Cricetulus griseus: one gene and its partners. The protein of the gene in region 1 interacts with the protein of each later gene in a pairwise test. Links are inferred from orthologs where the notes say so. Each region holds a gene or a part of one and is shown in the gene's direction. Other genes may lie near its edges. The genes, in order: Lnx2, Nmd3, Map2k5, Ptcd3, Lrrc8e, Mapk9 and Mylip.

Region 1 (3,500 bases):
TGCAACTTCTTAAGAAATAAAGCGATTTATTTTGTCTGTTGTAAGTGTGTTTCATTAGGGAAAGCAGCTTTGAAATCCAGCAGAACTTGAGCCTGCAGGCCACTAGAGCTGTGCTAGTTGCAGACTTGCCCTGGCCTGATGAGGCCTGCTCCCTCCCACCCTGGTCCTGTGACATAGAGTCAGACCCAGAGGAGCAGGCACTGGATGAGTGCCCTGTCCCCTAGGGTATCAGTAACTAGCAGAACCAAAGACTAATGTCAACGCCCATGTTCCTAACTACTCCTCAACACTGTGCCATTAGTTTATTTTAAAATTCTATGCTGTGGAAGTCTTTAGAATGGTTTTCTTTTAGGTATGGGATCCTCTGGCATTTTCTCCATATTGGTTTCCTTTGGAGTTGTCATCTAGACATTTCTGCAAGTTAGGAAAATAAATTTTGTCATGCATTGGTCACAGGAGTTGTTTGTCCATTTGTTGTTTTAGGTCAACAACTATGATATCAGCAACGTGTCCCATAACTATGCCCGGGCCGTGCTTTCCCAGCCTTGCAGCATGCTGCATCTCACCGTGCTGCGCGAGAGGCGCTTCGGCAGCCGAGCAAACAGCCATGCAGACAGCAGCGCATCTCGGGACGAGGTCTTCCAAGTGCTGCTTCACAAACGAGACTCGGCAGAGCAGCTGGGGATTAAATTAGTCCGAAGGACAGATGAGCCAGGCGTTTTTATTCTTGACCTTCTGGAAGGGGGGCTGGCAGCGCAGGACGGCAGGCTCAACAGCAATGACCGGGTACTGGCCATCAACGGACACGACCTGAAGCATGGGACCCCAGAGCTCGCTGCCCAGATCATTCAGGTAGACGCCACACAACTGAGTCTGGGTCATCAGTCACACATAAGAATTCCAGGACCATCAGTGTTTCTTTGGAAAGTCATACATGGTTACATAAAATCCTCAAAATCCATACTACTATATATAACTTCCCCAAATAGAACTGTGTTTGTTTAGGTGTAGTTGTTGACTGTTTGTTTTCCTAAAACCTGTGTCCCCATGTACTTTGGGGCTTCTGTTTGTACAGTGTAGGCACTGCAGCTTTACATCTTTCAAGAGAGCAAGGGTTTACTTCAACCAGTAAGCTTGTCCGAATGGTTTTTAAGGAAAGTTGAAGTACTGATTTAGGGCTCTCAGGTGTTAACAGTAATGACAGTGAGTGTATTAGTTAGACAATCCCAAGTAGCCATTGATACTTCCCATAGGATGGTATAGTCATCAGAGCCATCGAGGCTGTAAATGTCCGGATTCTAATTGTCACCTCAGCATTTGCCTATTGGACCCTGGAGATGTACTGGCGTGGCAAATGATTAATTATAGTATTAAAGTTGTCTCTCACTTACTTTCCAACTGAAGAGCCAAAAATTACGAAATTTACTATTGTGTGTGTGTGTGTGATCATGTGGAGATCAGAGGACAATTTGCTGTATCTAGCTTTCTTCTTCCCCTGTGGAGGCCCCAGGGATTGAACTTAGCTCATCGGGTGTGGCAGTGAGTGCCTTTACCCTCTGTGAATTTTAGTCACAGGGAAGGTTCCTACATCCTCTCACAGTTCCTTAAAGCAAGCTGTCAGCTTCTGTAGGAGAATAGTAAAGTTGGAGGTTTGTGGTGATGAAAGGGAAGAAGCATCGGGTAAGTAGGATGTACTTTAAGAGCGTGAACATGACCTTAAGTGTAACACATTTGTGAACCTTTATGTTTAAAACGCAGAGCACAAGCCTCCAAATAGTTTAACTCTGAAAGGTGTGTGTGTGTGTGTGTGTGTGTGTGTGTGTGTGTGTGTGTATGAGTGGTTTGAAAATATTAGCCTATGACCTTCCTGCTGCCAGGTAGTGACTGCCCAAATGAGGCTTTGGCACAGTGACTAAGAAATACATAGAAAGTTAGTGTTCCCAGGCAGTGTATATTTGTAGCATTCATGGGGCTGAGACAGGAGCCTCTAGCCTGTGTTACTTAATGAGAACCTTCCTTGATGAGGAGAAAGGAGTGGAGTTCCACTAAGATCTCTAAGCCACAAACATCGTTTGTGATGGGTAGTGATGAATGTGTCTTCTCCAGGCCAGCGGAGAGAGGGTGAATTTGACAATTGCCAGACCCGGGAAGGCCCAGCCCAGCAATGGCACCCGTGAAGCAGGAGCACACAGCATCAGCCAGCAGCATGCACAGCCACCCTCTCATAGCCGACCAAGCTCACACAAGGTGAGGACGCTCCTATCCTTCAATTCATGCCACCCTCTCAGGACCACTGTTACAGCCTGTGAGTTTCTTGACAAGAAGTGATCCTCTACAGCTTAGTGCTCTGTGGAAGTCTGTTCTTCTCGGGCTGCTTGTTTAAATGTTATCACTGGTTTTACAGTTAGAAATGCAACATGAAAACATGATTAAGTCCATGGTTAGCAGTTAGGCGTGTCATCTACAGGGATGGAATTAGCTGTGTGAATACTGACATCATAAGCTTTGACAGGCACATGGATAGCATGTGTTGTTATGGTGTTAAAATCCCCATCTACTGACCGGGTGTAGTAGCACACTTTTAATCCCAGCACTCAGGAGGCAGAGGCAGGCGGATCTCCATGAGTTCCAAGACAGCCTGACCTACAGAGTGATTTCCAGCACAGCCAGGACTGCATCGTGAAACCCTGTCTCAAAAACAAAGAGCTATGGACTATTTTCAGTCCTCAGTAAGGAGAAAAAAATATAAAATCCCTTTATAACTGGCACTGAACCTGTCACCTTGTTGAGCCTGTTTTTACCTCAGCTGCATGTTGTTAATTACCCAAGACTTTTCTTTTTTCACTGTGTAGGATCTCACTCAGTGTGTCACATGCCAGGAGAAGCATATCACTGTAAAGAAGGAGCCACATGAGTCCCTTGGAATGACAGTTGCTGGTGGCAGAGGGAGCAAGAGTGGTGAGCTGCCCATCTTTGTGACCAGCGTGCCACCCCACGGCTGCCTTGCACGAGACGGCAGAATCAAGAGAGGTAAGACAGGGTCTTGGAAGATCTGCCATGTCTCATCTCAGAATTTAGGTCACATTTTTAAGAGTAATTACTGTGTTTCAGGTTAAACATGACTTTTTAAAATAAAGTGTCATTGTACAGAAAACATAATATTTTTCTGTAAGGTTGGGAAAGTTAACCCTGATGATGGTTCGAGACCCTGCAGTTGCCCAAACTCTTGGCTTATATGTTTATCTTAGAAGAGATCCAGCTTATGGCAGATGATATTAAAGGCCTTCTCACTGAAATACAGCATTGATTATGATAAAGTGTCCAGGATCTGTGTGATGCTGAGCAGGTAGAAGCACCTACCTGCTGCCCAAGCCTGATGCCCGAGCTCTATCCCTGGACCTCGAGGTAGAAGGAGACAAGGCTTTGAAAAATCATCTCATGAAGATGCCATTCGAGTGTGCAGAAGACAAGAGGAAGTAGCCGAGGACAAACTTGATTTT
Region 2 (4,130 bases), on another chromosome or scaffold:
TTTCTGTTTTCTTAGTTTATTTCTTTTATTAACATCTTCAGAAGGATGTAACTTCGTGTCATTGTTAGGGTTACTCTTGCTTTGATGAAACACCATGACCAAAAGCAAGTTAGGGAGAAAATGTTTTTTTTTCTGCTTACGTTGCTATGTCACAGTTCATCATCAAGGAAGTCAGGACAAGCAGGGCAGGAACTTGGAGTCAGGAGCTGATGTAGAGGCCATGGAGGGGTGCTGCTTACAGGCTTGCTCCTGGTGACTTGCTTAGCCTGTTTTCTTATGGAACCCAGGACCTCCAGCCCAGGGATGGCACCACCCACAATGGGCTGAGCCCTCCTCCACCAATCACTAATTAAGAAAATGCCCTACAGGCTTGTCTACAGCTCAGTCTTATGGAAGCTTTTTTTTTTTTTTTTTTTTTTTTTATTGCGGTTCCCTCCTCTCAGATGACTTTAGCTTGTGTCAAATTGACATAAAGCTATCCAGCACACTTTGCATAGGTGAAAATATCTTTATTGGGGCTTGAGAGATGGCTCAGAGGTTAAGAAGACATGGCTTCTGTTTCCTGTACCCACAAAGTGGTTCACAACCAGTTGTCTCCTTCTGATCTCCTCTGGCATTAGACGTGCATTTAGTACAGACACACATGCAGGCGAAACACTCAAAAGAAAGTAAATTTAAGTTTCTTAGAAATATTAGGATCTCCTTTTGACACCAGTTTCTGAAACCACATTGTAACTGTTGCTTACATATCTATTTTCATCTATTTTGTGAATTCGCTTCTCAGAAAAAACATGTCCGGATTATTTCTTTAAGAATAATTTCCTTTGGTGAAAAACATTTCAGTTTTTTCTGCTTATCATTAAAAAAGTACAATGTAATCTAGGAGAACGTTATCAGATTTTTATTTTTTGTTGTTTAGTAAACAGTGATTTGATATGCTTAGGCTATCTACGGTGATATTCATATTGGGCAATTTTTAGAAAGGTTTATCTATCCTATGTATATGAGTGTTTTGCCTGGATGACCATATGTGCACCACCGCATCAGATCCTCTAGAACTAGAACTGTGGGTGGCTGAACCCACCTCGTGGGTGCTGGAAATTGAACCCAGGTAAGAACAATTGGCTTATAGTCGGTGAGCCATCTCTCCAGGTCCTATATAGAGCATCTTCAGGGTATGGGAAGGGTGAAAAGCAGAGGGAGGACTACACAACCCCAGCAGCGGTGACCAGAGCTCCCTGCCTGCTCAGCTCGCCCCGCCTCTCATGACCCGCTACCTCCATAGGCCCCGCCCTTTGCTACACGTGTACCTTACCTTTGACCCGCCCACCCTCCCCTTTCACCGGAGTCGTTTTGAACACGGAACTTCCGGTCCTGCTATCGCGAGACATTCCCAGTGGCGTTGGCCCGCTGAGGCAACTGGCAGGGAGTCCCGGCCTGGCGGGCTGCCGGTATCTTGCCCTTCCCCTTGCCACGCAGGAGCTGGTAGGTTCTGGGGTCGCGATCCGTCTCCTGGCGCCCGCACTGGCCCGTGGAGGGAGCGGGCCGGGCCCTGCACCCCGGCCGCGAGCGGACCGCGTGGGTGCGGCGGGGCAGGGCGGTGCGGAGGCCGGCTCCACGCGGGGCCGCGCGCGGCCTGAGGTCGTGTGTGGAGGACGCCTCCGAAGCCACCCACCCGGGGCCCGACCTGCACGGCCGACGCCACGGGACGTAAGGCTGCTCATCGGTCCCTCCCTTCCTTTAATAGGTCCGGAACGATGGAGTATATGACAGAATCGGTTGATCGCAGCCCCGGACACATGTGAGTCGCGAGCCTCCCTCTCCTTCCTTAGTTTGCAGATCGTGAAATGAGCCCTGGAAAACTTTGAGCGGCAGAAGCCCTTTTCTCAGTTGGAAAAAAAAATCAAGTCTTAATCCCTTAGGAAATCTAATTCATTTTAATTGATTCAGTTCATTTCTAAGTTCGATCTAGAACATGCATGCTTCATCCTAGACGACCTGCCAGAGAGGCACCGCACATACGGATGTTTTGAGTTCATAACTCAGTTCCTCCAACACACGAGCCACACACTGAGAACTCAGTAGCCACATAAAACTAGTGGCTACCGCTGGAAGTTTATTATATTTTTCTTTTGGGCAACAGTGTCAATGGTTCACAAACTTTTTTTTTTTTTTTCAAATCTACTTCAAATAGAGTCCTGCAGTGTAGCCCCAACTCCGCATGAAATTCACCCTGTAGCCAAGACTGACATTGGGAGCCTGGCCCTCCAGCCTTAGCCTCCCCAGTGCTGAGGTTATGTCAAGCCCAGTTCACAAAATTTTTCTGCTTCCAGTACACTATAGAGTTATACTTCTGTCTAGAGCTTCAGCAGATATCGATCCTGCCCTGTAGTCGGTTTTTCTTTTTAAGATTAATTTTAACGTAAAAGTTAATGCGTTTCATTATGACATTTTTATGTATACATATGTATGAGTATACATATATTTAACATTGTACAGTGCTCATATTTACCCTACTGCTGTGCTTCACTGTCTCCCGCCTCCCACTGATCCCTTTTCTCCCCCTAATAACCTTTCTGTTTTCATGTTATACATACCTTATCTTTTACCGTGGGTCCCAGTAACTGAACTGTTCCTAATGTCGTGGAGATAGTGCTCTGAACAAAGGCATCTGGTCGGATGTGACCTACACAGGGTAGTGTTTAGAAGATTAAAGAGAAACTGCACTTACATGTTGCTTGTTTTGGTTGTTTCCTTGTTTAGTTTTGCTTTTTGAAACAGTCTCACCATGTTAAGCCCCACCTGTCCTAGAACTCAGAGATCTGCCTGCCTCTGCTTCCTAAGGGCTGGGCCTAAAGGTGTGCACCATCACACTGGGCTGTCTTACTTTTTGTTCACATGGGATCTGCTTCAGTTTTTACCATTGATGTTACACTATTTTCCTTGTTAATCTCTTTTTTCCTTAGTTTTCCAATTTTAAAGAAGGGATGATGAATGACTAGAATATATCTGTCATTGCATGAAGTTCTGTTGCACAGTGCCATTGTCAGATTTTTGTTTAAATTAAAGATAAAGAAGAGGAGGAGGAGGAAGGCGCAAGATGAGACACAGGATGAGACATATTAGACATATTAACCAGTTTATTATAGGCCTGGCAGAGTAAGGAGAGTAAGAGAGAAGAGAAACAGTGTAAATGGCTGACCACCATGGCTGGTCACCATAGAGAGGGAGAGAGAGAAGAGAAGCAGAAGTAGACAGAGAAGAGGAGAAGTGTAGAGAGAGTGCAAATGGGCAGGGATCTGTCTTTTAAAGGGGTTCCCTGCAGTTGCAGCCTCCTTATTTTTTTGGGTCAATGTTCCAGGGCTCTTCTTCACTCTTTAAGATTGCTTTTTTTTTTTTTTTTTTTTTTTTCCTGTCTTAATTTGAGACAGAGTCTCATTGTGTAGTCCTGGGTGACCTGGGACTCACAGAACTGTGTTCCCTGCTTCCTGGTTGTTAATTTTAAAGGGGTTTCCCACCATGCTCAGCTTGTCCTATTTTGGCTTTAAAAGTTGTTTTACATGTGTGTGCATGAGTGTATATGTGTGTGTGCCATGTACATTCAGGATCCCACAGAGATCAGAAGAATAAGGGTTGAATCTCTTGGAACTGGAGTTATAGTTGGTTGTAAGCTGCCACTTGGGTGCTAAAAACTGTTTCCAGGTCTTTGATTTGATGGATGGATGGAGGGAGGGAGGAGGAGGGAGGAGGGAGGAGGGTGGGTGGTGGTGGGTGGGGGTGTGTGTGTGTGTGTGTGTGTGTGTGTGTGTGTGTATGTATGTATGTATGTATGTATGTATGTATGTGTTTTTTTGCCTAGTGAATTTATAAAATCTAATTGGAAAATTTTTATACTTATCTTCTCAAGCTTGTGCTGTGAGTGTGGTGTTCCAATTAGCCCAAATCCTGCCAACGTTTGTGTGGCTTGTTTGAGAAGTAAAGTTGACATCAGCCAAGGTGTTCCAAAGCAGGTCTCCATTTCTTTCTGCAAACAGTGTCAAAGGTATGGTACTGTATGTTACTTGTTTAGCTTTCTTAAGTTGATATTCATACAGAGAGCCACTGGGATGTGCTGGGATTACACCAAAGTA
Region 3 (3,002 bases), about 92 Mb from region 1:
TGCCTGTTCTCAGACAGATGATAACCGTGATGGAGCATATGGCCCCAAAGTCACCCGGCATTCTGGGAGAGTGACACTGTGTTACCCTGGGCTTGGGGGGAGGGGCCCATCCTCCTGAGCACAGCTTCTGTCTTTGTTCTTCAGAAGGGTACAAGGTCGCCTCTCCCAAGTCCAGAAAAGAACATGTACGGGAATTCAAGGATGTTCTCTATTTAGGCAGCCATTGTGAAAGCAGGCAGAGGCTGGGCAAGTATGAGCAGGGAAGCTTATGGAAGCCAAAACGGAGTGCCTCTCATCTCACCCCACACAGGCCTGTGCCGCCCACAATCCCCCACCAGCCTGGCTTCTGTTCCCCTTTCTTGGGGTCCTACACTCATGTCTGAAACCCCCACAGTATGCCATGAGGAATAATTGGGTACCCAGCTAGGCTTTAGGCATAGCCCTGGGCCCTCAACTGGACACAAGCTCCAAAGACTTTTTGTTTTGTTTTGTTTGTTGCTGTTGTTTTCCCACAAACAGCCAGGCTGGAGAGGCCTGGGTAGCATTCCTTCCTTCCCATTCCCCAAGCTCCACCTGGTCCTCTGCAGATCCTGGTAGATATAGGGCCAGGACACAGTATAGCCACATAGCCATGGGACAGAAGATGTGGTGAGGTTGTTGCTGGCACTGAGATGCCTACCATGTTCCCAGGACCTGGCTATTTGCCAGGGTCACAAGTCACAGGTACACTGGGAAAGTAGCTCAAAGCCTTGTGGACCAACAGAGACAGTCAGAGAGAGGCTCAGAAAAGCCAGGATGCAAGGAGGAGGCACCTGGAAGGGGAGAGAATCAGGAGCTTGGGGGTGGGCATCAAGGATCCCTCATCTCCCTGCTCACTCTCTGTAACTCCCCAGGGCTTGTTTTCCATGGAGGCTACCAAGTTTCTGCTGAAAGTCTTTGGTTAAGGTAGCTACTTGGTGAACTGAGTATCGCTTTCCATTCCGGTTCCCACTGTGGCTCTGACAGCCCTGTGGCTTGTCCTTGATTGCTTCTGGCCCTCCCTGGAAATCCCCAGACACCCTGAGATTGGGGATGTCGATCTTAGTGTATCAGAAGAGAGGGGAGGATGCTGGCTAAATATAACCTGACCTGGCCGGGGGCTTAAGTAGGTTAGAACAGGAGATGAACCACATGGAAACAGAGCTGGGCCCTCCAAAGTGCAGCCCTCTGCCCTGAACCACCACTCCCCTCAGCACTCCTCTTGCCGGCCACATCCTCCTGGCAGGTGGTATCTGTGCTTCCTCAGCAGACTGAGTCACTTACAGGGGGGCAGGAGACAAAGGAGGAAACTAACAGGGATTGACAACGCCTCTGACAAGATGATCCTTTGCTCTCTGGGCAGCAACTGGACCGGAAAGCTGGCCGCCCAGGGGCCAGGCCTTGGCCTAGTGGCTATGGCATGAAACTGAGCTGGAAAAGGAGCGGGCAGAGCGTGGAGTTAAGACTAAGATGTGCCTTTCAGCTTCCCAGGCAAGGTCTCAGATGCTTCCCCGCTTCCTCTGCATAGATCAGAGGACAGTTTTCTAGACTGAGTTCTCCACTAACACCATGTGGGGTCCAGAGATCAAGGCGGTCATCCAGGCTGCCTCCAAGCACTGTTATCTGCTGAGACATCTCAAGATTCTAGCCTGCCTTCTTACCATGTGGGGTTACTGGAAAAAAAAAAGAAATCAGGTCCAGACTTGAACACACCTTGGAATGAACACTGAGATGCCTGGCTGTCTTTTTGTTTGATCTGTCTATTGCTCTATCTTTTTATAACAAGGTCTTAAGTAGCTCAGGCTAGCTGTGGATGATCTTGAACTGCTGATCCTCTCATCTCTGCCTCTCGGGTTCAGGGGTTACAGCCACATACCAGCATACCTGGTTTATATGGTGCTGGAGACCAAACCCAGGGCTTTGGATTAAGCTAGGCAAGTGTCTACCAACTGTCCTTGGCAGCAGGCACCCAGCTTGGGACTGCCATCACACCTACTGTTCTTCCCCACAGGGTCACCCGTTCATCGTGCAGTTCAATGATGGAAACTCCACCGTGGTGTCCATGTGGGTATGCAGAGCACTAGAGGAGAGGCGGAGCCAGCAGGGGCCCCGTGAGGCCTCAGTGGGACACTGACTACCCAGGGCCAGTCACCAAGGACACAACAAGCTGCGACCCGCTCTGTCTGCTGCCTGATTGGGAAGAGCTGCACTGGGCCCAGCCTCCTCCTTTCACCTCCTACCCTACCTAGGGAGCCCTCAAGAGACCCAGCCTCTGCTGAATCCTGGACCCCTGGGGGGTGGGGGCAGTAATGAATGTGGCAGGTGGAGGTGGTGCAGAAGGGGTAGAGGGAGGGGGAGGGGGGTTTTAAGGATGGCACCTCTTCTTGCCTCAGCCCCTTATGTTTCCCTACTGTTCATTGTAAAGGGTCAGACCCTATCGGCAGCACTGGTGAGAGAGTAAAAGTGTTACTGCTTTGGACCGGGTTTGTTTCCACAAGTCTGTCATTCACATCCCCATTTTCCAGGGACACCTGCAAGATCCTGTGCGTTTCCTGTAGCTCGATGTTGAGGCCCATGCCCCAGCTCAGTTGTCACATGAGAAACCAGGGCTCAGAGGTGCCTGCACCAAGTCCCACAGCAAGGTGTACTGAGGTCAGGTCCAAACCCCAAGCCTCGTGGTGTAGTCCTCTCCTGGTCTGGAGCTAGCTACAGGCCCAGCAACAAACTAGCACCAACACTGGTGTGGCCAGGGGCATCTGAGAAGGAAACTGAACATCAAGAGTGAGGTGCAGGAATTCAGAGGCCTTCAAACCTTCCTCACACCAGCCACCAGGCCCTCTCACCGCCTGTGACCCAGGCCACTCGTGGCCACTTCAAGTAATCCTGCAGCCACCTGGAGGAAGTGTGGCTGTCCTCCTTTTGCAGCAGATTGAGGGAAACACTGAGAAGCCAGTTGCCACCTGGTCTAAGAGACACCCCCGCAT
Region 4 (3,500 bases), on another chromosome or scaffold:
TTACCCAGGGACCCTGAGTTATTCATGTCCAGACAACTTCAGATCTTTGACCCTCCATTTTTGAGATGATAACCCTGTCAAACTCTGGGTTGTAGAATGGTTATGTGAAAAAATGGCAATTACTACTAATTTTCCCAGTGCCTCTGATTCATGTTTATTCTGTTGTTTCTAGAGCACAAAACAATGCTGAGAGAATCTTTGCTCTGATACCCGAGAAGAATGCACGCTCCTACTGTACAATGATCCAAGGGATGGTGAAGGTATCTTCCTTTATTTTTATCTTGAAGGTCTATTACGTTGGATGAATAATATATTTGGGGGTGGGGTCGGTTCTGAGCATGATGTCTATTTGCATCATTCAATTTTTATGCAAATAATGAAAATAGTTCTACCTCAGGGTCTCAGTTTGTAGGTCAGCTGGCTAGGCCGTTAGGGAGACAAGGCTTAAGTTCACAGCAATTTGTCTGCGTCTGCCTTGTCATTAAAGGTGCTCCAATAGCTAGCAAAAACTTTTTTTTCTTAGAGTGCCTTTAGATTCAACATTTCTTCCCACTGTATTCTCTGGAGTAATTGGGAACATGGGCATAAACTACAGCACTTAACATGATCATTTTATGTAATACCTTTGTGAGTCTATGCTCTGTCTTGTAACCTATTAAATGAGGTCCTATTCATGACTTTATATCAGCCCTCTAAATTTTTTAGCTTGGAGGCATTTCAAATTTTGGATTAGGGATGAATGACCTTTATTATAGTTTTGTGAGTTTTTTTTTTCTTTATTCATGTATGTGTGCATCTGTCTGTGTCTTAAGTGTATGAAGGAGTGTGTATGTGCATGTGCGCGCTTCCGTTGTGTGCCTACATTGGGTAATAGAGGGTGTTGATCCCTTGGAGCCAGTTACTGCATTTATTTATGAGCCACCTGACATGGGTGTGGGAATAAGAACTCTAGACCTTGTGATCGAGCACCAAGCACTCTTAAAGGCTGAGTCAGTCACTTCCTCCTTGACGATAAGAGGGTTGGAAGCTTCCCTTTGTGTTGTGAGATGTTGTCTCCCACCTTGCCGCCACCCCATTTCTACTCATTAGATGTGAGTTACATGCTCTTGCTTCACTCTCAGTTGTGATGACTGAAAATGTCTAAGCATTGCTAATGCCCTCTGGAAGAAACTTACTACACTAGGGTACGAGCTTCTGAGAATTGGAGGCTCCTGTTTTGTGTGTTCACATTCCAAATTGAGAACACTTTGATGATGTTGCTTTTTCCTCTCCAGCACCGAGCTTATGCACAAGCACTGAACTTGTACACCGAGTTATTAAATAACAGACTTCATGGTGAGTCTGGGGACTGGCTTCCACCTGTGTATTCCCTCAACTCAGTGGTTTCCAACCTTCCTAATGCTGTTAACCTTTAATACAGTTCCTCATGTCGTGGTGACCCCCCCAACCATAAAATTATTTTGTTGCTACTTCATAACTGTAATTTTGCTAGTGTGGTGAGTCATACTGTAAATGTCTGATATGCAGGATACCTGGTGTGCACCCACTGGTTGAGAACCACTGTTCTAACAAGAATCAGTTAGGTTTTTGGAAGTTGTCTCAGTTATTGGGCCACAGTTATTGTTTGGGGGGTTGTTGTTTAGATTTTTCAACTTTTGTTGCCATACTAGTGATTAAAATGGGACCAGAGAGCTAGTTCTATGATCATTTTCTCTTCACCTCAGCTGTTTTCAGGTAAATTTTCAACCTCAAGTTTTGTTAAAGTATTTTTCTTTTACAGCTGATGTATATACCTTCAATGCATTGATTGAAGCTAAAATGTTGATAGCCAGTGAGAAATTTGAGGAAAAATGGAATAATATACTGGTAAGGAAACAACCTTTATTGTCTTCTACCCACCTTTGACTATGAAATATTAATTTATCATTTATGTGGTGGCAACTGCTCAGTACTCTGCCCTAGCTTAAGAAGCCTCTCTATTATGGGGGAAAAAACAAAACACTGATTAATCAATTATTACATAGCAAGGATTCAGGAAGAGTTGGGACACTTAATGTATAATTGATTTCATTGTTAATTACAAAAGTACATACCTATTATAGAATTCTAGCCAGCGAAGTTAAATTGAAATCACTGGAGAGATTTTGTCAAAACTTAGAACGTGTTTTTACATACCATGGGCGCTTCTATTTTAGTCTCAATTTGGTAGAAGACTACAGATAAACACCTTGATTGCCTGTGGTGCATGATAGGATTTGGGGAGACAAAGATAACCTTGATCCATGACAGTGTAAGGAGACTTTCTGGAAGATGGGATCCCTGGTAGATAGTTCTTTGTCCCTTTTTGGTTTTGTTGGTTTTCTTTCAGAAAACGTCTCACTGTCCAGCCTTTACGAGTCTGGAACCTGATATGTAAATCCAGGCTGGTTTTCAACTCACCGAGATCCCTTGCCTCTGAATCTCAAGTACTGGGATTAACGATGGGCTTCCAAACCCGGTTGTTCAGGTTTTTTTAAGCAGATAGTTACTAAATTAGAGTATGGGTGCTAATTTTTTTCATATGTAGCCACAGAACTAAATTATTTCAGTAGTTTTGGCAAATTACCTTGGAGTAAAAAAAAAAAATTTCCTGTTTCTTAGGATCTGCTGAAACATATGGTTGCACAGAAGGTGAAACCAAACCTTCAGACTTTTAATGCTGTGCTGAAGTGTCTCCGGAAGTTTTATATGCATGGAAGGCTCCCAGCCTTACAGACATTACGTGAAATGAAATACCTTGGAATAGGTAAGAATGCATCCTGGCTCCTCTCTGAAGATGAGGTGTGCTGACTTTTGGTCTCAACCACAAAAGCCAGAAGTGTTTATATTTTTACTATTGCTTTACTGTTAGGGTTTCCTTGTGGCATTTGTAACTTCACATGAAGTTGGTTCTTTGTATCTATCTCTGCAAACAACCCCAGATAAAAAAATGTTAGGTAAAAATAATTGTAAATATGTCTACACTTGTATTGGCCATTACTAAACAACACAAGTATTGGGGTTGCATTTGTGGCATATCAGGTTTTGGATCTAGAAATGCTTTGAAGTATACAGTAGGATGTGTGTGGGTTATGTGCATATAATTCCATTTATATTCACGTGCCATGGATACCAAGTGATAACTGTCCGCTATGACAGGAATACTTTATCACTTCATGTTCTTTACAGTAGATATTATTGTTATTTAACATTTGAAATACTTTTTCTGTAATTCTCTTAATTTTAAAGGGAGTTGATTGCTTTTTTGGCCTGTTTTAAATTTCAGGACATTGTTCTAGCATAATTAAATATTGTGACCCAAATTATGTGCCACTTTATATTGTGAATAATTTAGTAATTGCTTAATTTAAGAATAGTTAGGCAAGCTGGGCAGTGGTAGCGTTTGGCTTTTATCCTAGCACTAGGCCAGCGTGATCTACAGAGCAAGTTCCAGGACAGGCTCCAAAGCAATACAGAGAAAC
Region 5 (4,236 bases), about 6.2 Mb from region 1:
TCTGTAGTCTTCTGTGGTGGACACCCCATAGCAGTGTGGACCTGCCTCTTCCTCCCAAGTGTTGGATTTTTCTTAAAAACGTTTCTTTCACTTAATTATGTATATGCACAAGTGTCTGTGGAGAGTATGTGCACATCAATGCAGGCACCTACAGAGGCCAGAAGAAGGTGTCAAATCCCCTAGAATTACAGTTGGTTGTGAGTCACCAGACATGGGTGCTAGGATGTCCTCTGCAATAGCAGTACACACTCTTAACTGCTGTGCCTAAATTCCAGCTCCTAAATTCTTTTTCTCTCTGTGTGTGCATCTTCCTGCGTGTGTGTGTGTGTGTGTGTGTGTGTGTGTGTGTGTGTGTGTGTGTGTATGGGTTGGGTGGAGGGCACATTCTCTCTCCCACTTATTAGTCTAAGTGGGAGGTTTCCCATTGAGAAGGTATTTTTCACACTGAGAGAACATGAAGGCACAAACTTGGCTGCCTCCAGATGGAGTATTTGATGGTCTGTGACTGGAGTTAAAGCCTCCCTTAGCTGCTGATGGTGAGACCTAGGTAGCCGTGGTGATAGTGGTGAGCCAGGATGAGTTTGGTTGTTTTGTTTTTTAATGGGGCTCTCAGAGGTGACCATTCAACTCATCTGATGGAGTGCTTGCCCAGCACCTAGATTCCATCCCCAGCACGACATAAACCTGTGTCATGATGACACAAGCCTGTAATCCCTCAGCCTGAAAACCCTCCTGTAATCCTCTCGGTGGAAACTCAGATGCTGGAGGCAGGAGGATCAGAAATTCAAGGGCATCCTCACCTATCTGGAGAATTTGAGGGTTGTTTGAGGAGGAGAGATGGGGGGAGAAGGGGAAGGTAGTTCCAGCCCCCATCCCTCCTCCCTCCCTAAACCCTCTGGCCCTGCACACCCATGTCTACCACGTGTCACACCCCAGGCTGAGGACAGAGTTTGTCCTTGCCCCAACCCTCCAACCTTCAGGATGGGCCAAAAGCCTAAGTAGAGATCCGAAGACTAGTACCCACACTGTGGCTTCCTGTGGCCGGGAACAGCTCCTTATGGCAAGCCAGCTCTGGAAGAGGGATAGCCTTCTGCTCTTGGTCTTCCCCTGCCCGAAGCCTAAACTACCCGGGCCTCGGGCCTCGATTGAGCTTTGGTACCAGGTGGGAATGCTTAGGGATTGGAGGAAATGCTTCCCAGAACCGACACCTGCCCAGATGGTACATCTGCAGGATACCAGTTTGCCCCCAAGGCCAGGACTTAGCGAGACTGCAGACTTCTAAAGACTCTTCACTAGGGAATCTCTCGCCTTGCTCGCGATCGCTTGGCGTGGAGTGGGGTCGACCTGGAGCGAGGCAGCGCCGAGACATCCCGGGGGCGGGGCGGAGCGGGGCGGCTCCCGGCTCCTGGCCCAGCCCTCCCTGACTCACCCTGTACAGCCGGCCGGCCCGCCCGCCCGCCCGGGAACTCAGCGGGAGTCCCGGTCGAGCCATTCCCTGGGATCTACTAGTTGGGCCCCAGAGTTCCATCCCTGAGTGGTAAGTAGCTGGGGTTGGGGGACTTTCGTCCCACAGGTGGAGATCAGCCTGGAACCAGGGAATGGCCCAGGGGGAGGATCGCTCAGGTGTGGGTGGCTCCGTGGCCTGGGCGAGCGCAACACCCCCTCACACACACACACACACTGGGGGCTGGGGCTGGGAGTGGGAGAGGTGTCCCGTAACCTTCAGCCTGGCCCCCAGGAGCCAGGGAACAGGCAGCCTGGGAGCAAGCGAAGGAAGGGAAATCAACAGGCAGGCAACGACTTCAGGAGTTTTGATTTCTACAGCCTGTGCCAGCATGAGGTGGTTGGAGGTAGATGAGAAAGACAGAAAGGGAGTGCCCTCAAAGCTGCAGACCCTAATCTCACCAACCCGCTCCCTAAGGTTCTTACACTTCACGATTCCAAAACCCCTTCCACGTCCCAGCAAACTAAGCTTGGGAAAGTGCTAGCCTAGGAGTCCATAACCCTCCCACCCCAAGACTTGCCACTAGGGGTGACTTTTCCTTACCTCAGAAAACTCCCTTGTAAAAATCTCCCTTGGAACTGAACTTTGAGCTTTTGGGTTTTTTACGTGTTTATTTTTTTTTTACTTTATTTATTTATTTTGTGTGTCTGTGTGTATACACACATGCGTGACACTCACACAGAGATCAGAGGACAATTTTGCAGTAGTTGGTTCTCTCCTTCTGCCTTATGGGCCTCTGAGTTGGAGGTCTTCTGGCTTGGTGGCAGGGGCCTTTGCCCAGTGAGCCATCCGCAGTAGCCCTGTGATTTGGGTTTGGGGTTTTGGATTTCTGTTGTTGTTTTTCTTGTTCGTTTGTTTGTTTGAGACAAGGTCATAAAATACAGGCTTGACTCTAACACGCTCACTCTCTATGCAGCTTAGGCTGCCCTCGATGTATTATCTGTCCTCCTGCATCTATCCTAAGGAGGATTACAGGATTGTGTGCCACCATTCCAGGTTTTATGTGGAGCTGGGACTTGAACCCAAGGCCTGAGCCAGCATCTTACCAGCTAAGCTACACCCCTAGTTCTGACTTTGTACGGTAAAGGTTAAAGAACTCTGCTGATCTTCCCTCACCCCTTAGCATGGGATATGCAGCTGGGGAGGCTGACTGAGGTTGGGGCATCCTCTTCATCCATTCAGCAGCAGAAGCAGGGCTTCGATGTGGGAAGGAGTTTGCAGGATCCTCCCAAGCCTGGTCTTCTGGGACACCTCTTGTGGGCGTGGGTGTGTGTGCAGACCAAAGACTGATTTGGGGTGTCCTCCTCGGTGGTTTCTCCACTTTATTTTTTGAGGCGTTATTCACTAAATCGACGTTCATGGATTTTGGCTAGACTATGTGGCCAGTGGTCCTCAGGGATCAACCTATTTTACCGCACCCTGCTGGGATTATGGATGCAGGCTGCCCTGCCCACTTTACATGGATGCTTAGAATGTCACTTATGTCCTCATGCTTGTGCAGCAAGCTGTTTACTGACTGAGCCATTGGGGTGCCTTCATTGGATGGAACAGAGTTGGTGCCATCAAACAGGAGGGGGACATTGGCTAGACAGGCTCAAATGATACACACACAGTGAAATCTTCAATGAGTTATGTTCATCCTCCAAGACAAAGGCATCTACACTTTTATTTCCAAAACTGGGATAAAATTCAGCAGTAGGCTGAACATGGTGGCACACTTCTGTAATCCCAGCACTTAAGAGATTGAGGAAGGGGGATTGAAACTTTGGGTTCATCTTGTGCTACACAGCCAGCACAAGGCTAGCCTGAGCTACATAGCAAGATCTTGTCTCCAAAACAATCAGGAAAGGGAGAGGACTGGGCGGTGGCTGAGGGATAAAGCGCTTGCTGTGAAGGCATGAGTACCTGAGTTTGGATCTCCTGCACCCACATAAAAGCAGGGCGCTGTGGTACACATCGGTAACTTTAGTGGATTCCAGGGCCAGTCCAGCTAAAATGCTGAGCCTCAGATTTCAGTGAGAGACCGTGTCAAAAAAAAAAAAAAAAAAAAAAGATAAGGGCCGAGTTTAGCAAGCCCAAGCACCTTTGATAACCAGAGGCTACATAAAGATAAGAGAGAACTGAAGCTGGGTGTTGGTGGTGCATGCCTTTAGTCCCAGCACCAGGAATCAGAGGCAGGCAGATATTTGTGAGTTTGAGACCAGCCTGGTCTACAAGAGCTAGTTCCAAGGCAGCCTCCAAAGCCACAGAGAAACCCTGTCTGGGGCGGGGGCACTGATCCAACAAAGTTGTTCCTTGGTCTACACACACACACACACACACACACACACACACACACACACACACACACCACTCACGCTAATAAATAAGATGGAGAGCAGTAAGAGATACCTAACATCAACCACTGGGCACACACACATGCATACACCTGCACACATGCATACATGACGTAAAATAAAAAACCTTATAAACAAAAGAAATCAGCATTGAACACAACAAAAGACTCCCTTACTATTTTTCTCTACACCGCCCCCAGTTCTGTGAGTCCCTCCTGCTAAACCCTCCCATCAGCTCTGTCCAGACATAGGGAAAGGGCCAGCCTTGTATTTGCCTGCTAGAATTTAATGGCAGGTTCTGGAAGATTGAGTTTGAGTCATGGGGTCAGACAATGATAATCCTTGTGTCTCCCTCTGATTGTGTGTATGTCTGTCTACATGGTGTGTATGTCTTGT
Region 6 (3,500 bases), on another chromosome or scaffold:
TTTTTACATTGTTCTACTGTGACAGAAAAATACTCCTGGTGCTTCACGTCCATGCTCCTGGCAACACCACCCTAAAGAGGTGCTTGCTGTCTTGTCTCCTGTGCCGCTTAGCATTAGGTCATCTGGACACTGGTCTGAGGCTGCCACCTCTGCTGCTTCCATCTCCCATGCTAAAAGCCTGGTCTGTGACGGTGGCCATTGGACTTTTAAAGGTTGAAAGCTGTGATCTTGAACCCCTTAAACATTTCTTGAAGTCGGTATATTCACATTTGGATCTTTATTGTGTTGTTTCCTTTTTTCCGTGGTAGCAATGTAAATATGTCATTTGTTTGCACTCTAGCAAGTCAAGCCAGAGATCTGTTATCGAAAATGTTAGTGATTGATCCCGACAAGCGGATCTCCGTGGATGAAGCCTTGCGTCACCCATATATTACTGTTTGGTATGACCCTGCTGAAGCAGAAGCGGTAAGTGTTTGTTTGGAAAAGACGTCTGTATAGAGGGCTCAATTTTATAACCAAGGCCTACCGTCTTTGGAACTTTTCTCATGTAGTAGTCCAGGACGGCTACATGAGGATAGCAGATTGTTGATTTTTGGGCCCTGACTTCAAAACTAGAACAAGTACTATTGAACCCCTGGGGGATACATGCTGCTGAGGCTACAGCTACAGAGTTAAGTACTCAGGAGTGCACATGAGTGTGCTGTGGTAGTCTAGTTATCTTTATGTTTATAAAGCTGATATGTAATAATCATGAAGCATTTGCTTCATACCTGGCAGTAGGCCTTGGACTTTGCTTACATCTTATTCAGGCCTTCAAATCAGAGAGGCTAAGTAGCCTTCCCAAGTGACGCACTAGCTCACACCTTCCTACCACATCTAGGCATCTGATTCTCTCATATGTTTTTTCATAGCATCATTTGTGTGAATGAATCTTAGCTATGAGTAAAATTATAACACAGTGGGGCATTTACTTCATGCCAACTGTGGAACACACCGCTGTGTCCTGGGTCTAGCTTTGACTGCCATTTTAACATTATGTTATATCAAAAGAATTGGATTTATGAACAGCCAGTTGTAGAATCTTCTATTCATCAGCTTGTGGCTTGGGCATGGGTGTCCTGTGATATAAAGAATTATAAGCTGAAGTGTGCTCTAAGAAAGTACTACACCTCATTTAGCTCCCTCACAGCCTTATTCCTGGGAACATCAAGCTGCCTATGGTTATTAATTTTGTAATTTCCTTTGGGCTGTGTCTGCAGAGCGTTTTGAGGTCATATGATTATTGAGGTTTATTATTTATTATTATTATTATAGCTTTCCTTTGGTTAAATCTAATTGTTTGATTTTTTAAACTGATAAAATATATTATGCTTACAAAAAATTGCGCAACATGTTAATTAAGCTAAATCCATGTTATAAATAGATTCAAAACATTCTAAGTAGTGCTATCTGCCCATCATGCCCCACTAGTTTTGAGCTATTCACCTGACATGATATTTAATTTTCAGCCACCACCTCAAATTTATGATGCCCAGTTAGAAGAAAGAGAGCATGCAATTGAAGAATGGAAAGGTAAAACCACGCGTTTTGATCTTTACTTATGCCATTCTCATAGTCCTATAGAACTTAACTGTCACTATTTTTTGATACCAGACTCCTGGAAAGGACCTTGAGACCCCAGAAGCCCCAATTTCCTCTCTCCCCACTTCCCACTGAGGAAGAGTGTAACTCTAGCAGTGTTAGAATAGAACATATGTGACATCATAATTTGCTTCAGGTGAAACCCAAGGACTTTCCATGTGATTTTCCATTATCGTATACTGATGTGTGGCCTTGACATCAGTAAGTGTGTTACACTCATTTTGATAGCATGGGAGTTGGTGGAGCCAACCCAATGTACAGGCTACATATTCCCTACAAAGATGCCTGTCTAAACAGATATGGGGAAGCCCAGCTGTAGGACATGTCTTTGTCTATTAAGCCATATAGTTTTATGTTTTAAAAGCTGGTTTGAAGGAAATTACCAAAAATAGGCAAGAAGGTACCTTTAAGATGAACCACACAGCCACAGTGAACTAAAGTGGTTAACAAAGAAACAACTTGAAAGTTTTCATTCAGAAGCAGGGCCATTAGAGACTAAGGGCCGTAGTCAGTACAGGCCAACATTGATGATAGACTTTCCACACTGGCATGTCAGTGGCCCACACATGTACATACTCATCATGGCAATGCTCACAGTGTATGCTTGCAGTATGAGAATGTGAACCCCTAATAACTTATGTGATAGCCAAAGGAAGTTGAGAAATTCTGGTGCCCTTGGGTAGCTCCAGGGGTGTGGAGGCAGAGTTCAGGTGCAGGGGAAACAACAGAGCATCTTCTGTTTCTCTTTGAAGAACTAATTTATAAAGAAGTGATGGACTGGGAAGAAAGAAGCAAGAATGGTGTAAAGGACCAGCCTTCAGGTTAGTGATTGCTTTAATTTTGTTGTCTAATATTTTGGCTGTTCAATGTTTATAAATGGCAATGATGTGTTAATGCCACTTGGACCACCCTGGTGTGATGTAGCTACCTTCTTTCGTGTCCTAATGCAGTCACTCTTTTGAGGTGGCAGGCCCTAACTAACTGCATTTGAGACATTGCTGTTGTGACTTGCAGCAGCTGCTGTCAGCTGTTTAGAGAGCAAGAGATTGGATTTGAAGACTTTTAAAATGTGGTCCTGTTTGCACTGATCCCATGCAGTTTAGAAAAAGATGGACGTTTGTGCAGACCTAAGATCCTGCATGTTTTATTTTTGCTCAAACCACACTAACACATGGGTAGTAGGAAATAGGGTAGCTTTATTTACCTTTGAAGTTAAAATAACAGTTTTTAGAATCATTAAACAAAAATAAAATTCATAGCAGGCACTAGCCTTTTCCTTTTTGGGGTGTATATTTCAGAAGGCATTTTTATCACAAAAGATTTTCTTGAATCCTGATGCTTTTTTTCTGTAGATGAGGTGTGCCTGTTGTAAATTAAATGTCCCATAACATTTGAACCCCACTCAGGCCTAAGCCTCCTGTGGTAATTGTAGTATAAATTCATCCATTTCCTTTAAGGTCTGTTTGAAGTCAGTGGGTATATCTTTTTCAGTAATCAACATGATCATACATGATCACATACACATGGTGCACAGGAAAAAAAAGAGAACATTGTAGGGAAAGCCAAGACTGTTTGGAAATTGAACCAAAGAAGGGCTAAGGAAAAATTCCAGTAGCTCAAAAGTATAGTAGACAAGTTTCTTGGTTCTGTTGATCATTACAACCAGGAAACTGCAAAGCAGAGTCAGGAAGTAGCCTGGAGCCCCATGCCTCAGGTTTTATTCCATTTGGTTCTCTTAGCACAGATGCAGCAGTAAGCAGCAAGGCCACCCCTTCACAGTCTTCATCCATCAATGACATCTCGTCCATGTCCACTGAGCACACACTGGCCTCAGACACGGACAGCAGTCTCGATGCCTC
Region 7 (3,963 bases), on another chromosome or scaffold:
AAAGACCCAAGGCTGAAACCCACATCTCCTGGCTTATCTTATAAATCAGTAGTTCTTAATGCTGTGACTCTTTATGTTCCTCATGTTGTGGTGACCCCCCAACCATAAGTTGCTACTTCAGAACTGTAATTTTTCGACAGTTATGAATCATAATGTAAATATCTGTGTTTTTTGATGGTCTTAGGTAACCCCTGTGAAAGAAAGGGTCATTAGACCCCCCTCTCCCAAACTGGTTGCGACCCACAAGTTGAGAACCACTGTTACAAACCAAAGAGGCAGGCAAAGTAATTGTATAGGCTAAGAGAAACAGGCAATGAAGTCATGGCCTTTAACCATTAATCTCTTCTACTGAGACTAAACTCCACCCCCACCCCTGCTGGGTCCTGAGAGGAGCCCTTTACCTCTAACATGGAGTAACTTCGGGCTCTCCCAGGGAAAGTATCAGGTGATAGTGAGTGACTTGATCCTAGATAGAATGGGTAACGCAATGGAGGCCCCAGCACTCCGCTAGGTGTTTCGGTTTAGCAGAACCCTTGCATTCAAAACTCTTGGCACGCGTTTATGTAAGAATGGTGCTTTTAAGATCAAGCTACCCAGCTTGTTATTGGTCAATTGCAAAAACTTTCCTGCTCAAATTGTGCGTTTTTGCCACCCTCAGTGGCAAATCCCGGCCGAAAAGTCTTAACTTCAGGCTCCGGCTTGCCCGCTTCCCTCTGGGCTCTCACAAACCACCTGGTTGTTGGAGTGGGAGTCGTGAGAACAGTGGCATCGCGGGAGCGTTTGATCACGGTCCTCTTTCTTGAGCAGGGACAGAAAGGCGTCCCTTGGAGCGGCAGGCGACAGCGGGCTGGGAGGAGCGTCGCCCAGCGGCAGAGGCTGTGACGGTACAGGCGTGGGGGTGGGGGCTCCCACCTCCCGCAGCTCTACAGGCGGTGCCGGGAGGCGGGGCTCCAGTCTGCCGGAGCTCCGTATTGGCCGGCGGGGCTGGGGAGGAGGGGCAACTACGCCGTGATTGGCGGAGGCCGGCGCCGGAGGGGGCGGGGCCGCTATAAAAGACGCGTGCCTGTCTCGGAGCAAGCAGTCGGGCTGTCCGAGCGGCGCGGCCGTGGAGCACTCTGGAGTGGGAGACCGCGGGGGGTGGCGGGGACGCGAGAGGAGGCTGCGTGGGGTGCGTGGGGTGCAGGGCAGACGGCCGCACCGCTTCACCTTCCTCGCGGAGCCCGGAGGCGACTTAGAGCTACTGCAGTGAGGCGACAGCCGCGGCGCACACCCGAGAAGAAGCGGCGGTGGCGGCGGCCCCAGCCATGCTGTGCTATGTGACGAGGCCGGACGCAGTGCTGATGGAGGTGGAGGTGGAGGCAAAAGCCAACGGCGAGGACTGTCTCAACCAGGTGAGGGGGACGATCGGAAAGGGGATCCCCACTTGTCCCCGGGAAGCCTGGGGCCTCGGGGATGGTCCTCCGGAGCCGGGCGACGTTGCAGCAGCGGCCCGTGGAGCGCGCCCCGGACGCCAGGCTCCAGCCTCCTCCCCGCGGGCGGCGGGGGTGGGGGGCATAGAGGACGCGTCCGGTGGGGGGGGATCCCGGGCCTGGAAACCCGGACACTGCCAGGAGCTGCAACCCTGTCCCTTACCTCGGCACTTTTCTCTAAATAAGGTGACCAGGCACACCTGCCGCAGGTGTGTGCGTGATGCCGCCCGTGGGGTCCTCGCAAAGCCCGGCAGCGCCACCCGCGTCCCGGGATGAGGTGGCTGCAGACAGTCACGGGCCCCGGGGTTCCCTAGCTAATCAGGTGGGCCCATGTCTCTAGCTGCTTCTCCGAAAGAGAGTTCACCTGACACTCCGGGCTTGCTGGGGATCCAGAGTATCCTTGGTAATTTGCGGGGAACGGTTCTGGCAGTCTCCTGCTTGTGGTCTTTACACGTGTGTTTTCTTTAGAGTGACTAAGGCTCTGAACAGTATTTGCATGGTGGATATGGCAGGCACATTTGATCCCCCTGAAACACTGTGCCTTCGGGACCTGTAGACCTGAGCTGATTGGAAAGCCACTTGTGAAGCTTAGCTGACACTTGTGGCATGCTTCCTCAACGTGTTTGTGTTTTTGGAATCCAGATGGTTAGAACTGCCCAGATAATAAGCTGCCAGATCAGCTGTGCAGATGGTGCTGGTGGAAGGAATTCCAGCGATTGGAGTAAGAAATAAAATACCCTTGGGTTCTTCCTTCTCAGCCTTTTGTGAAGTCTGTTTTAGGGGACTCCTTACCCTGTGCAATTGGCCATACCCTAGAAATATTCAAGCAAGGCCGAGGCTCCTTTGGAGCGCTGTGTTTTGGCATCGCTGGTACCTTAAAACGTTGTTTTTCCATTCTACCACTGGAATGTTAACACGGTAGGACTGGAATTATAACAAGGTCAAAGTAGGTGACTGCCCTTCACGCAGATGGAGCCCTTATGTGTGCATTGCCTATATCTTCTGCCTTTGGTTTTGTTTTTAGGTGTGTAGGCGATTGGGGATCATAGAAGTTGATTATTTTGGGCTGCAGTTCACCGGCAGCAAAGGTGAAAGCTTATGGCTGAATTTGAGAAACCGGATCTCCCAGCAGATGGACGGGCTGGCACCTTACCGGCTCAAACTGAGAGTCAAGTTCTTTGTGGAGCCCCATCTCATCTTACAGGAGCAGACAAGGTAAAGTGAGGCGGAAATAAACCAGTGTCAAGTACACCTCTGATTCCACCTAGGAGGGGCTTCCAGAGATGTTCCCGGGCTAATTTGACTTCCTGAAGAGGAAGTTCAGGAAATACTTAAATTTGCCGTTGAAAGCACAGTTGGCCTGGGTGGGTTTTCCAACTCTTGTTTTGGTTATACACGCCTCTATATTATTAATGGGAGAGCAGAGTTGACTTCTTACAAACAAAAAGAAAACCCCCAACACTGACTTCCTGACAGCTATGTCTAATGCCCGCTAGTAACCCCGCCTCAGCAGTGTTACTACAGGTCATTGTCGACGGTTCTAACTGAAAGCAGGAAACAGTTCCTCTTGGGTTACTTAAACTTGGTCAGTCTTCAGCCTAGTGTCAGATTACAGTGTGTAGCTGAGTGCTCTGTCTGGCCTCCTGCAGATTTTAAAACTTTTTTAAGTTTCATGAAAACTTAATAAAAGAACTCTTTGAAGGCCACTGTAACTGAACTCCAGCCTACAGCTATATTAAACATGATTGTTGGGCATTAGATTTTTTTTCCCTCCTTGTTAAAATAAGTTCCACCAGCCATGGTAGAAACTGAAGTGTGTGGTCTCCTTCTTTAAACGACCAAACAACAACAACAAAATGTGTTTCCCTCACAACTGGCTGTTATCCTTTTCTCAAAGATGATCTAAAATAGAAAAGTGATGTTTAATATTTGTTATTGAAATGCAAGAGACTTACAGTGGCATACTGAAAAAGGGAAATGATTGCTTTTAAAACCACAGCAAGCTGTGGGTCCCAGCACTGATGTTTCCCATCCTCCTGTGGCTTGGAAAAGCGCCATGCATGTGAAAAATGCGATCTTGTAGATTTCAACTCATAATCGGGGAACAGGATCCTCGGAGAGGTTTCAGCATACTGTGTTTTGTTTATTTGCCAGACAAACGGTGGAAACGTTTTAAAATACCACTCGTTTGGATTTGAAATATCCCCTTTGTCTTGCTGTGGAACTTTAAAAGTGGGGGGAGATCTTGTTTATGAAGGAAACTGGCATAAGGAATTTTTAGTGTTTCTGAAAATACCTTACGAATATTCATGCAATAGCATGCTTATAGATGCTGAGCTGTCTCTGTTAGTCACAAGAGGCTCTATCTTTCTTTAAACTTTTACTCTGTATGTGTGTATGCACTGTGTACGTGTACATGCCTGTGCTTGCACACACATCTGTATTCCTGTGGAGGTGACAGAACAACTTTAAGGAGTTGGTTCCCTCCTCCCAC

The links.
Region 2: the proteins of Lnx2 (region 1) and Nmd3 interact in a two-hybrid assay, tested with the Homo sapiens proteins (3 studies listed by BioGRID and IntAct). The link is inferred for Cricetulus griseus from reciprocal best matches to the Homo sapiens genes LNX2 and NMD3.
Region 3: the proteins of Lnx2 (region 1) and Map2k5 interact in binary tests that used the Homo sapiens proteins (3 or more experiments, as listed by UniProt). The link is inferred for Cricetulus griseus from reciprocal best matches to the Homo sapiens genes LNX2 and MAP2K5.
Region 4: the proteins of Lnx2 (region 1) and Ptcd3 interact in binary tests that used the Homo sapiens proteins (3 or more experiments, as listed by UniProt). The link is inferred for Cricetulus griseus from reciprocal best matches to the Homo sapiens genes LNX2 and PTCD3.
Region 5: the proteins of Lnx2 (region 1) and Lrrc8e interact in a two-hybrid assay, tested with the Homo sapiens proteins (3 studies listed by BioGRID and IntAct). The link is inferred for Cricetulus griseus from reciprocal best matches to the Homo sapiens genes LNX2 and LRRC8E.
Region 6: the proteins of Lnx2 (region 1) and Mapk9 interact in binary tests that used the Homo sapiens proteins (3 or more experiments, as listed by UniProt). The link is inferred for Cricetulus griseus from reciprocal best matches to the Homo sapiens genes LNX2 and MAPK9.
Region 7: the proteins of Lnx2 (region 1) and Mylip interact in binary tests that used the Homo sapiens proteins (3 or more experiments, as listed by UniProt). The link is inferred for Cricetulus griseus from reciprocal best matches to the Homo sapiens genes LNX2 and MYLIP.

The regions. Positions count from the first base shown.
Region 1 is NC_048597.1:82,876,975-82,880,474, reverse strand, and holds part of Lnx2 (ligand of Numb protein X 2), read left to right. Parts: intron 1-483; coding exon 484-852; intron 853-2,106; coding exon 2,107-2,247; intron 2,248-2,852; coding exon 2,853-3,030; intron 3,031-3,500.
Region 2 is NW_023276806.1:83,373,919-83,378,048, reverse strand, and holds the start of Nmd3 (60S ribosomal export protein NMD3), read left to right. Parts: upstream 1-1,330; 5' UTR 1,331-1,485; intron 1,486-1,747; 5' UTR 1,748-1,757; coding exon 1,758-1,801; intron 1,802-3,907; coding exon 3,908-4,042; intron 4,043-4,130. UniProt on the Homo sapiens protein: Acts as an adapter for the XPO1/CRM1-mediated export of the 60S ribosomal subunit.
Region 3 is NC_048597.1:174,663,668-174,666,669, reverse strand, and holds the end of Map2k5 (dual specificity mitogen-activated protein kinase kinase 5), read left to right. Parts: intron 1-2,029; coding exon 2,030-2,152; 3' UTR 2,153-2,502; downstream 2,503-3,002. UniProt on the Homo sapiens protein: Acts as a scaffold for the formation of a ternary MAP3K2/MAP3K3-MAP3K5-MAPK7 signaling complex.
Region 4 is NC_048601.1:63,594,400-63,597,899, reverse strand, and holds part of Ptcd3 (pentatricopeptide repeat domain-containing protein 3, mitochondrial), read left to right. Parts: intron 1-172; coding exon 173-260; intron 261-1,274; coding exon 1,275-1,335; intron 1,336-1,780; coding exon 1,781-1,866; intron 1,867-2,640; coding exon 2,641-2,785; intron 2,786-3,500. UniProt on the Homo sapiens protein: Mitochondrial RNA-binding protein that has a role in mitochondrial translation.
Region 5 is NC_048597.1:89,034,213-89,038,448, forward strand, and holds the start of Lrrc8e (volume-regulated anion channel subunit LRRC8E), read left to right. Parts: upstream 1-1,436; 5' UTR 1,437-1,537; intron 1,538-4,236. UniProt on the Homo sapiens protein: Non-essential component of the volume-regulated anion channel (VRAC, also named VSOAC channel), an anion channel required to maintain a constant cell volume in response to extracellular or intracellular osmotic changes.
Region 6 is NC_048600.1:64,345,896-64,349,395, forward strand, and holds part of Mapk9 (mitogen-activated protein kinase 9), read left to right. Parts: intron 1-340; coding exon 341-465; intron 466-1,508; coding exon 1,509-1,572; intron 1,573-2,393; coding exon 2,394-2,462; intron 2,463-3,380; coding exon of another isoform or gene 3,381-3,385; coding exon 3,386-3,500. UniProt on the Homo sapiens protein: Serine/threonine-protein kinase involved in various processes such as cell proliferation, differentiation, migration, transformation and programmed cell death.
Region 7 is NC_048596.1:265,108,527-265,112,489, forward strand, and holds the start of Mylip (E3 ubiquitin-protein ligase MYLIP), read left to right. Parts: upstream 1-1,163; 5' UTR 1,164-1,304; coding exon 1,305-1,391; intron 1,392-1,405; exon of another isoform or gene 1,406-2,157; coding exon of another isoform or gene 2,158-2,190; intron 2,191-2,204; exon of another isoform or gene 2,205-2,387; intron 2,388-2,493; coding exon 2,494-2,684; intron 2,685-2,707; exon of another isoform or gene 2,708-3,963. UniProt on the Homo sapiens protein: E3 ubiquitin-protein ligase that mediates ubiquitination and subsequent proteasomal degradation of myosin regulatory light chain (MRLC), LDLR, VLDLR and LRP8. Activity depends on E2 enzymes of the UBE2D family.